Oryzias latipes: one gene and its partner. The protein of the gene in region 1 purifies or fractionates together with the protein of each later gene. This does not show direct contact. Links are inferred from orthologs where the notes say so. Each region holds a gene or a part of one and is shown in the gene's direction. Other genes may lie near its edges.

Region 1 (5,745 bases):
CTCAACTTGTTCACCATTTTCTGTTTAGGTGCCGTCAAAATCACCCCAGCACATGACCATAACGATTATGAGGTTGGAGAGAGGCACAGCCTGGCCTTCATCAACATCTTGGATGAGAACGGCCTGCTCATCAATGTGCCCCCTCCCTTCCTGGTATAATATACAGTTATTGCCTTGCCTCCTTTCCCCCCTCTTTCTTTAATGTTTTTTCTGCTAGTTTCTTTCTCTTTTTTTTTTTACTTTTCCTCTCCGCATTTCAGGGCATGAAACGTTTTGAGGCCAGAAAAGCGGTGCTGCAGGCTCTCAAGGACAGAGGCCACTTTAAAGAGATCAAAGACAACCCCATGGTCGTCCCAGTTTGCAGGTAAGGTTGGTATTTGTTAAGCGGAACACAGATCTTGGGATTTTTTTGTATTTGAGGTGACTTTCTAAAATTCTCCTTCCTTCCTCTGTTAGTCGCTCTAAAGACATCGTGGAGCCTCTGCTGAAGCCGCAGTGGTACGTGAGCTGCAGAGACATGGGCAGGGAGGCTGCGGACGCCGTCAGAGAGGGAAGGCTCAAAATCATCCCTGATCACCACCTCAAGACCTGGTTCAACTGGATGGACAACATCAGGTCTGTCAATGTTAAGCTTTTAAATAAACAGTTTTTTCTAATTTCCTGCTCATATGAAGTCCAATTTAATGGATTTAAAGTCCTACTTCAGTCATCTTTTGATCTATCTTCAGAGCGTTCCCAGTGGTCCTTTAATCATGATTATGCCAACATTTTTTTGGCAAAATCAAAAAACCCGTGTCGTTTCCTAGGGCGTAGTTTCTGCAGTTGCCTTTAAATTGTGGGCAGGACCGTTGGCGTGGAGCAGTCCCGCCCCCTTTCTCCTCCTTGTTATGGAGCAGGAGCTTGTGGCCTCCCCAGCATATTTCCTATGTCACAAAGGCGCTCTTTCTTTAAACAGCATTTCTTTTGTCTGCTCTTGATTTGCAGCAATTTGAAAAAAGAAATACTCATAAATAATTTCCTTCATATATGTCCTCCATCATAATCAGAAAAATGCAACCAGAACATGTTAAAAACACCAAAAACACAATTTTCATCAAAGGGGGTCTTTAAGTCTTGATGTGGACCAGTTGATCCTGTGTGAACATGCTGCCTCGTTTTCTTGAAGCACATTTTTGGGGGTTTGTTGCTAATGAGATATTTTGGCCTCTGAATTCCTGTTTGTTTTCAGAGACTGGTGCATCTCCCGACAGCTGTGGTGGGGTCACCGCATTCCCGCCTATTTCGTCACCGTCAGCGATCCTTCTGTGAAAGCTGGAGAGGCAAGCCGGTGTCTTCAGCTCCTCTCAAAATCTGCAATGTTCTAGAAAGATTAAGCACTGCTTGAGTGGCCATAACTTTTTCCATACATCTTTAATGAATGTCCTCCAGGACATGGACGGCCATTACTGGGTAAGCGGACGGTCCGAGGTGGAGGCCAGGGAAAAAGCGGCAAAACGCTTCAACGTGTCTGCGGACAAAATAACTCTCAGACAGGGTAGGATTTGCTTGTGTGGCGGTGAGGTGTTGGATGACTTCAGTTTCTGCCAAAGCACAGACGAGCATCGCTAAAACAAGTCTACGGTACTCTGTATGGTTTCTACGTTCAGATTGGGTAACTTTGGTTCCTGTGTTACAGACGAGGATGTTCTGGACACTTGGTTCTCGTCTGGCATTTTTCCTTTCTCCATCTTCGGTTGGCCTAATGAGGTAAGACCCAGACTCTTCAGACACACCTATTCCAGAAGATACAATCCTTTGGAGAATAAACAGCAATAAAATCCATTCTATAGGAGGACATTCTGTCCCCTGAAGCTAACATTTATGAATGTATGAGTGGACTTTAAGCCATAGTAATCTCCACACAGTGGAGCGTGAGCCAATCATCTTTTGACCTTGTTTTTTCTTTGATGTTGGATTGATATATTTGTATTTTGTCTGTACACTTCACATCCTTGTTATAAAACATTAAAACAGTTTTTATTTTATTTTTTTTTAGTAAAAAGGACTAAATAACCCTCTCAGAATCGTTATTTTGCACAGTTTCGGGTTTATTGTGGAATTATTATTTAGTATAATGAAAAAAAAACTATTAAAAAAGAAAGTGGTTCTATTAAATAAATGAATATTTCTTTATTTAAACATTTGAGCAATGGAATTATTGGCCTCTTAAAATGCCACTTCTCATTTTTGAGATGTAATATTTATAAAAAAAATAACAACATTTTTATATTTATAAAAAAAGAAAAGCCAACAAAGTAAAGTTAAGTAACAAACAACTCAAGTTACAAATTATTATACAAATACTCTATATAAACAACACAAAACATACACACCCGCACATACATACATAACTGTTTCTCAGCCCTCCTCCCAATGCAGCTTAACAAAGCATATTCAATCACAGCACTCAACTCAATTGATGTTCATTCATTCATTTTTTCATTCATTCATTTATTTATTTGTTCCTTTCATGAAAATTGATGTTCAAATGTTTACATGTTTCTCTTACATATTGAATATTTTCATGATTGGAAGGGAGCAGAATTGAAGAACACAATTCTTATAATTATCTGCTCCCTTTTAAACATTACATTTACATTTCTCACACCATCACCTGTGCTCAGATTTCACAATGTACAGTTCCACTACACAGTAAATACATTCCATTCATTTAATACATACATTCCAAAAATTGCATTCAACAGTCAAGTTTGTACAAACTAATTTGTTTAGCTTTATACATGCGTTTAAATTTAATAATATTTTGACAACTTTTTAACTGATTCTCCTGGGAATTCCACATTTTTACCCCTGCTATAGACAAACACTTTTGCTTTAATGTTGTTCGAGCAATCTGTTGTTTGAAATCAAATTTTCTCCTATGATTTTCATCTCCTGTGGTAAAAATAAAAAGCTTTTGTAGGTCTTCTGGTAAATCTCTGTTTCTGGTTTTAAACATAACTAATAAGGTCCGCAATTCAATTAAATGTTTAAGTTTTAATAAGCCTGACTTAATAAAAAGTTCATTTGTGTGATCTCTAAAATTAGCTTTGTGAATAATTCGAATAGCTCTCTTCTGTAGTAGAATTAAGGGCATTATATAAGTTTCATATGTATTTCCCCACACTTCAATACAATATGTAAAATAAGGTAAAACCAAAGAGCAATATAACATGTGCATAATATGACATGGTAAAACATATTTAGATTTGTTCAGAACAAAAAGGCTCTTGGCTACTTTATTTTTTACATAAAATATATGAGATTTCCATGTTAATTTGTCGTCCAACATAACCCCTAAAAATTTAAATTCAGACACCTGTTCTATTTTTATGTTGTCAATGGACAAAGTCACTTCTGTTCTGTTTTTATTACCAAATACCATAAACTTTGTTTTTGTTAGATTCAAAGATAGTTTATTGTAGTCAAACCACATTTTGAGTTTTATCATTTCCTTTTCAATACTTTTAGCTAAGGTTTTCAGATTATCCCCAGAACAGAAAAAATTAGTATCATCAGCAAATAAAACAAACTGTAACAACTTAGAAATATCACAGATATCATTTATATATAAAATAAAAAGTTTAGGTCCTACAATTGAGCCTTGTGGGAGTCCACAAATAATATTCATAAGATCAGACTTCTTACCTCCAAACTGTACATATTGTAGTCTGTTTTTTAAATAACTGGTGATCCAGTTCAGGGCGATTCCTCTAACCCCATATGCATATAATTTAGAAATCAAGATAGAATGATCTATGGTGTCAAAAGCCTTCTTTAAATCCATGAAAACTCCTATTGTGTATTACTTTTTGTCAATTGCTGTTGAAATTTCTTCAACTATTTTCATTATAGCCAAATCTGTAGACCTATTAGAACGAAACCCAAACTGATTCTCACTTAACAATTTATTTTTTTCAATAAAGCTGTCTAGTTTGTTAACAAACAACTTTTCTAAAACTTTAGAAAATTGAGAAAGTAATGATACTGGTCTGTAATTATTAAAAGTATGTCTGTCTCCATTTTTAAAAAAAGGAATAACTTTAGCTATTTTCATCTTCTCAGGAAAAATTCCTAATTTAAGTGAAAGATTAAAGATATGATGTAGTGGTTTTACAACACAATCTATGGTCATTTTTATTAATTTCATGTCAATCCCGTCCCTGTCCTTTGAGGTCTTGTTTTTTAGTTTGTATACTGTAGTCAAAATGTCATTTTCAGTCACATCAGATAAATACATAGAATGGGAAATCCAATTTTTATTTTCAATAATATCTTTTGATTGTAAATTGCATGTAATATTTTCTGCTAAATTGGGTCCTATATTTACAAAAAATGAATTGAATTCATTTGCCATGTCCTCTTGCTTTTTGATGACCACATTGTCTTTAAGGAAGAAGTGAGGTAGTTCTATTGATCCTGACTTATTTCCTATGACCTTATTCAGAATATTCCACGTAGCCTTTAAGTTATGTTTATTTTCATACAGAATCCTATGATAATATTTCTTTTCAGCTTGTCTCAATACATTTGTTAACTTGTTTTTGTAAACCTTATAACGTTTTTCAGCTGCTGCTGTTCTTAAGTTTAAAAAGTCCTTATAGGGTTTGTTTTTCTTTTTACAAGCATTCTGTAGGCCCTTTGTTATCCAGGGTTTTCTGTTATTTTTAAATTTAGGTCTACTTAGAACTTCTGGACAGTGTCTATTGTAAAGATCTAAATAACATTTCAGAAAAGCCTCATATGCACCGTTTACATCATTTGTATAAATTTCATTCCAGTCTTGATTTATGAGATCATTTCTGAAAGCGTTCAGAGTTTCATCATTCCTTATTCTTTTGTATATTTGGTGGATTTCTGCTGACTTTTTTTGCAACCTGAAGTCAAATATAGCAAATACAGGCAAGTGATCGCTTATGTCATTAATTACTAACCCACAATTTCTTTGAGTTTCCAAAATATTGGTAAAAATGTTGTCTATTAAAGTTGCACTACTTGTTGTTATTCTGCTAGGCTTTGTAATCAAAGGATACAATCCTTTACTATATAATGAATCGAAAAAATCAGATGTTTGTAAATGTGAATCTAGCTTTATGAGATCTATATTGAAGTCTCCACAAATTATTAATTGTTTATGGTGATTTAGATTACTTAACATATCTTCTAAATTTTCCTTAAAAGTTTCAATTTTTGATCCTGGTTTCCTATATACACATCCAACAGTCATATTTTTGTTTTTTTGTAACTCTATTTCCACAGCAACACTTTCCATTAAATCATCTATAGTAGATGTCATGCATTTTACCGGTTTCCATTTTAAACCGTTGTCAATATAAAGGGCAACTCCCCCTCCAATCCTATTTGTTCTGCTATTGAAATACAAATCATAACCTTCAACTTTCAAATTATTTTCCTTCCCTTTAATTATCCATGTCTCTGACAGAGCAATTACTTTAAATTTTCCTTTAAATGTGTCCAAAAAAGATTTAATTTTATCAAAATTTCTTGGTAGACTTCTACAATTGAAATGAATAACAGAAAGTTTTCCCTCAGTTTTAACTTCACCGAGTTGTTCCTCGCAGTAATATCTGCAGGTATCCTTGAACTTATTAACACACATGAGTCTCTGGATCCACATCATTATCAAAATCATAAAGTCCATGCTCTGTATAATCAAACTTAGAAGTGTTTTCACTCACCACTGAG
Region 2 (6,246 bases), on another chromosome or scaffold:
CTGCAGTGTAAACAAGAGATACGTGAAGATGCTGGTCGATGACCTCTACTATCCATGGCTTCTAAAAGAAACTACACTTTTTCTTCAACAGTCACCACAACTCTCAGAGATCTGAATGGTGAGCAGACCCACCTTAAAATATTCAGTAATAATGACAACAACCTTCAAGACATCCACCCTGATCAGTTCTTTTCCACTGTTAACATGAACTGCAGATATTGCAGCATGGATGACTTTAAAAACTCTGTTAACCCAGAAGAAAAACTGTCAATCATTCTCTTTAACAGCAGAAACATGTAGACCAACTTTGAAGACATCAGAACATGGAACATTCCTTTGATATCAGAGCCAGATCTGAGACCTGGTTCAGCCGCGACAAGGACGCTGACTTTGAATTAGAAAACTAAGAACTTAACTATGTGAACAGAGAAAACAATAAAGGTGGAGGAGTCGCAGTGTATGTGACAAAAATATGAAGCTTGACTGTCAACATCCAACCTGACCAACTGGAAGTGAATGGGACATGAGGACTAGCGCTAAAGTTATTTAACAGGAAGAAAACACTTCGTCAAGATTGATGAATTTACATCAGTGGTCAAGGAGGTCAGTAGTGGTGTCCCGCAAACATCTGTCTGTTTTTGATTGATTTTATTCAATCAGTTCATCATTTCTGTAATGAGTTTGATAAATCTGTGGGATTATTTCTTCTACTGTATACAATGAATGCTTGAAATCAATCAATCAATCATTTCATACAAACCCAGTGTGCTCCAGGAGTCACATTGGGTAAGGGTGGTGTTGCCTTCATGCACCACCTGTTGGTGTTTGCCCCTGTACCTCCAGTTGGGCCTCATGTTCTTCTGCCCCCCAACATCCCAGAGTGTCAGAGATGTCTTCTTATCCAGGTTCAGCGTTCCAACGTTGAAGCCGACGGTTGGAGACGTGGTCACCACCTGAAGATCACCAGCCACACTCAGCCAAAAACCCCAGCATCGTGGCATTCACACTGCAGGAGACTCACCTTTCCTGTTAGCAGTCTGGCCAGCAGAGTAGACTTCCCTGAAGAGTCCAAACCCATGAGAATCACCTGCAACGACGCACACCTGTTACCGCTGGAATGGACACACTCACAGCTCCACAACCCAGAGTTCTGGTTCTGAAAAAACCCTGACAGAATGTCCCAAAGCAGGACCATACCAGGCACTGCCTTAGAGAATCCAAAAGACTTCTAAGACCAAGAGGAGGAAGAGGAGTGTACGCTGAAGGCTCAGAGATGTTTGTCCAGAAGAGGAGGCAGATCCCCCGACTACCAAAAACAATGTTGTCCTGCCAAACGGAGGACAAGTCCTCTACAGAGGACACATTTGCATTGCTGCTAGTCCGGAAGATCTGGACTTCATTTACATGAGAGGGCAGTGTGTGTGCATGTGAATATGTGCGTGCATGTGTGTGTGCGTGTGACGTGGTCTGTAGCATCCACACAGGTTAAGTTCCTCCTTGGTCCAACATCAACCTGCTATGTGTAATGAAAGAAGCCCGAAGGACAAACTGGGTTCCTGGGTGGAACTGAAAGACCTCAGCCACAAACCTCACTGAAGAACCACACCTAGAACGTCCATCTGTTCTTTATCAGTAGGTATCAGAGAACGTCTCCCGGTCTGCAGACGGAGATGTCAACAAGACACCCCCCTTCTGTTCTATAAACATACTGACGGGCTGAGCATTTCTACCTCCTCACAGGCTAAACAACTACAGACCGTGTAATGTACCTCTTCACAGTCTATGACAGGAAAACATGGCATAGGCCACGCCCCTCTCAAATGGACATTTCCCTTAAGACACCTGAGCAGTGCAGAAGCTTTAGGACAGAAGATGGACTCACCTGAGGACAGGAAGACGATCCTGCCTGACCCATGTCTGCTCGTATGAAACCGACTCACTCAGGTGTGTAAAGGTCATTCATGCTGAAAGCCAATGGGAGCAGGGAATGAGGACAGGCGGGTCACATGACATTCAGGTCTGACTGCTTTTACTGTTGTTTGTTTAACTCTAACCTGTCCGTTCTGATGGAATGCAAAGGAGATGATTTCCCTGCAGATCAGTTCTCAGACATGTCCGGGTTCCTCCAGTTCCACCTGATCCAGATCCACTAGCTTACAGCCCCAATCTAACACCATTAAAAATGGTAGCAGCATCCCACCCATCCATCCGGCCGGTTCTTATCCAGATTCCAGGAAAACAAAAACGTTCATGGATCTGTTGGTCTGCAGGGGAGAAAGGGGCGGGGCATGAAGCTTGTGGCCCCGCCCAGGATATGTTCAGCATCACAAATATGAAACAGCGTTTTTTCATCTGCTGCTTCATTTGGATAAAGGAACCCTCAGAAATTCATGTATTCTTTCCATTTGTCCTCCATCAGGAGAAAATTCTACGTGTTGAAAACACCAAAGCAGCTGTTCCACCGGGGGGGGGGGGGGGGGCCTTAGAGGGACTCCACGTTCCTGCAGGGTTCCACTGCAGAACACAGAACGAAACCAGCCAGGACCAGCTGAGAGACCTGCAAGCATGTAAACAGAGAGCTCTCAGCTCCACGCCAGCGGCCCGCCCACAACTCAGAGGAGAATGTCTGATGAACTCCTGCCGCTCTGCAGACACTAGGTCCTAGAGAACCACAGGGGGTTTGGATTTAAAGACGCTTTGAGTTTGAGAACACATCGGATGAGGGTTGGAGTGGAACTTTGAGACCAGTTAGAACAGTTAGAACCTGTATGTTCTGGTGCAGACCTTGCCCCTCCTCCTCCTCCTCTTCCTCCTCCAAGGAGGAGGAGTCTTGAGGAGGAGTCAGAGCTCCGGCATAAATGCGTTTCCCGTCCTCCCTCCCTCCTCTTTCTCCTCTTGGTCGCGGTAGAAGCAGCTCATCTTCGTCATGGGGTTCGGGGACCTGAAGTCTTCGTCTGGGCTCAAAGTTCTGAACGACTTCCTGACGGACCGGAGCTTCATCGAGGGGTGAGCGGAGCCGCCATGTTGGGTCCGCCCGGCTACCCATGCTAGCTGCTAGCTTAGCATTTGGCGCTAAACACCCGCGCAGAAAGACCGAGAACACGCGGGACGGCCCGGGATCGGTTCGGTGCTTTGACCGGCAGAAACGCGCCAGCCAAAGTCTTTGGTTCCGCCAGGGTTCTGGAGAATTCCTGCTGGCTCGTGCCGCGGGTCACATGGCTGGTTCTCTTACATGGTGCGCGCGGTGCATTGTGGGTGATCTGACCGTTACCCGGGCACAGAACCTTGTAGTTTGTCACTGGTTCCGTGGTCTTCAGAACCCAGACTTTGTTGCTTCTTTGGTCTGCAGCTGGTCCTCCCGGTTCCTGATACGAACCTTTTGGACACATGTTGATGCGGGTCCCGTAGACTTAAATCCACACCCAAGAACCAAAGTTCTTTTGTGGTCCAGGTCCAGTCCTGAGCTGCTTTGTCTGACCCGGTCCAGGTCCAGTCCTGAGCTGCTGTGTCTGGAGTTCTGTGGAGGTGGGGATCCTAAACCCGTCTGCTGGATGGAGGAGATCCCGTCTTCCACTTGTAGATGTTCTCCGGGTCTCAGGCGGTCTGGACCTGCCCCTGTGCGGGGATCAGGTGTGTTTAGACCCACGGTAACCAACGGTCTGTCTCCAGGTATGTCCCCTCTCAAGCGGACGTAGCCGTGTTCGAGGCCGTCTCGGCTCCACCCCCTGCTGACCTGTGCCACGCCCTGCGGTGGTACAACCACATCAAGTCCTACCAGGCCCAGAAGAACAGGTGAGGCGGACGTGGTGGTACGAGGCGAGGGTCCGGAGACCAAAGCTGACCTCCAACGCTGACCTCCGGCCTTCAGTCTTCCAGGTGTGAAAAAGCCTCTGGGTCAGTACGGCCCCACGGGTGTAGCGGACACCACCTCCAGTGGCCCTGCTGCCAGCAAGGATGAAGATGATGATGACATTGACCTGTTTGGCTCTGATGAAGAGGTGAGGCTGCAGTCTTAGCCAGGTCTTCATCGCTTCCATCTCACCTGTGTGATTGTGGTCCGGCAGGAGGACACGGAGGCCGCTAAGCTGAAGGAGCAGCGTCTGGCCGAGTACGCCGCTAAAAAAGCCAAGAGTAAGTCTGCACATGCTCAGTCTGCAGCAGTTCTCTGATGATGATGATGATGATCCAGTCACCATCTTTCGGCTGAGCGCCTGATGGACACCTGTTTTCACCTGACGGTCGTTGCTTACGGTCAGACGTAGCGCTCTGTTTGCCCCACTGAAGCCTCCCTTTCTGCTAGAACCCGCCCTCATCGCCAAGTCCTCCATCTTGTTGGACGTGAAGCCGTGGGACGACGAGACGGACATGGCGAAGCTGGAGGAGTGCGTGCGCAGCATCCAGATGGACGGGCTGGTGTGGGGACAGTGTAAGGAACCGATGGGTCGTTGATCAGAGTCACGGATCTGCAGAGATGATGATTTACTCACCATCTTTCGACTGAAGTCTGATGCACACTCAGAACCCTGACCCTGCAGAACCCTTAGTTCAGACCACAATCGCTGCATCGACAGAACCTTAAGAGTTTTGTTTCTGGTTCTGCAGCCAAACTGGTCCCGGTGGGTTACGGCATCAAGAAGCTGCAGATCAGCTGTGTGGTGGAAGACGATAAGGTGGGTTCCTTCCTGTTCCTCCTGGCTCCCCCCCCTCAGGTTCTAACGGCGTTCTGTCCTTTCAGGTGGGAACGGACATCCTGGAGGAGCAGATCACAGCCTTTGAGGATTACGTTCAGTCCATGGACGTGGCAGCATTCAACAAGATCTGACATGTTAATAAAATCATCAAACTGTCGGCTGCTTTCTTTGGTCTCATTAGAACTGATGTGATAACAGTTGTTCATGAAAAAGCTTGCAGTTCCCTCCGCGGCCTGTAGGCGGCAGTGCAGCTCCAACAGTTGAGTGCAGAAGAAGACGACCGGAACTAAACAAGCGCGCGCCGACACGGACCAAACAGGAGGATTAACCCGCGCTAGAGGTCCTCAAGCGATCCACAATCTGGACCGAACGTCGCTCCACGCGCACAGGTGTGTTCAGTCGGAACCAGCGATCAAAGGCTAGCGGTTAAATACAAGCTAACCATGTGACTAATGCGTGATCCAAGCGCCGTGTGGGTTTGTGTATTAAGGTTCACGCGCCTAGAACGTAGTCCAGGTGAGGGTGGGGCCTGTGAGCGGAGTTCAACCCATTTGGCGCGCAAGATCTTACCTGTCTGCGAGCGAGCCACATCTGTAGTGACGTCACAACAGGACTCAGAAGGTGGCCGTCAAACGTCAGTCCAGTTAGCCCAGGTGTTGAGAGAACCACCCGCTTCTGGTTCCAGCAGAGAACGTTGGTCTGTCCTGAGGTCCATCCAGCTGTTTCATAGGAGGTTCTCTGAACCCTGGATGAACGTTCTGAGATCTTGGTGGTTCTGATGCTGAGATCAACCGATCTGTCAGGGAGCTCCGCTTTACTGCAACAGCGGAACCCGGACCAGAAGTTCAGGAGAACAAAGGCAAACTTTCCTGTGTCAGCCCGGCCCAGGTTCAGGTTCTCCACCGCTCCGTCAGATGTTCTCCATGGTTCCGTCATGGCCTAGTTCTCTGAAACGATGGAAGTGTTCTGACGCGCTGTAGACAAGTCAGACGTTCTCCAGGTGTTTGGGACGGGTTATGAGCAGGTCTGAGCTCCAAGGAGAACCAGCAGAGTTCCGTCTGCACGTTCTAGATCATTCAGCAGAGTTCAGCAGGCTGAGGAGTAGAAATGAGTGCATCAGTGGGTTTCTGGACCCTAAAATGACTTGAATTCAGAATCTGCATAGAATGTCTTACAGTGATGATGTCATCACTGTGGGACCACATTCAGACTGACGGGTCACAGGATGCAGTCTGTGGCGTCCACAGGCGTCCACACCGGGTCGACTAAGGCAGATTTATGGACGGATGAGGATTTCTGCAGAAATGAGCAGATTACCACGAAGCTCCCCAAAAACATGAAGAATTGACAGTGGGAGCCTCTGAAAGCTCTGTCTGTGTTCCTGAAACTAAGTGAACTTCTAATTCATTCACGGAGGAACTGGATCCGAGTGATTCAGGGTCAGAGTGTAACACGGTCCTGTGCTAGAACCGCCTGATCACGCCTGTAACAGTGTTCTAGAAAGCCCAAACCGTCACTCAAACCTCCATGGAGCTCTGCAAAGACGCCCAGCTGT

What was found.
Region 2: the proteins of vars (region 1) and eef1b2 fractionate together in Homo sapiens (co-fractionation; 3 studies listed by BioGRID, with this or other methods). This does not show direct contact. The link is inferred for Oryzias latipes from reciprocal best matches to the Homo sapiens genes VARS1 and EEF1B2.

The regions. Positions count from the first base shown.
Region 1 is NC_019874.2:20,777,756-20,783,500, forward strand, and holds part of vars (valine--tRNA ligase), read left to right. Parts: intron 1-28; coding exon 29-153; intron 154-260; coding exon 261-364; intron 365-456; coding exon 457-615; intron 616-1,228; coding exon 1,229-1,319; intron 1,320-1,428; coding exon 1,429-1,534; intron 1,535-1,675; coding exon 1,676-1,746; intron 1,747-5,745. UniProt on the Homo sapiens protein: Catalyzes the attachment of valine to tRNA(Val).
Region 2 is NC_019860.2:25,081,680-25,087,925, reverse strand, and holds eef1b2 (elongation factor 1-beta), read left to right. Parts: upstream 1-2,802; 5' UTR 2,803-2,926; coding exon 2,927-3,006; intron 3,007-3,669; coding exon 3,670-3,792; intron 3,793-3,868; coding exon 3,869-3,998; intron 3,999-4,064; coding exon 4,065-4,131; intron 4,132-4,300; coding exon 4,301-4,426; intron 4,427-4,602; coding exon 4,603-4,670; intron 4,671-4,735; coding exon 4,736-4,822; 3' UTR 4,823-4,848; downstream 4,849-6,246. Other genes in the region: ADP-ribosylation factor-like protein 11, read right to left, coding at 838-953, 1,022-1,087, 1,883-1,915. UniProt on the Homo sapiens protein: Catalytic subunit of the guanine nucleotide exchange factor (GEF) (eEF1B subcomplex) of the eukaryotic elongation factor 1 complex (eEF1).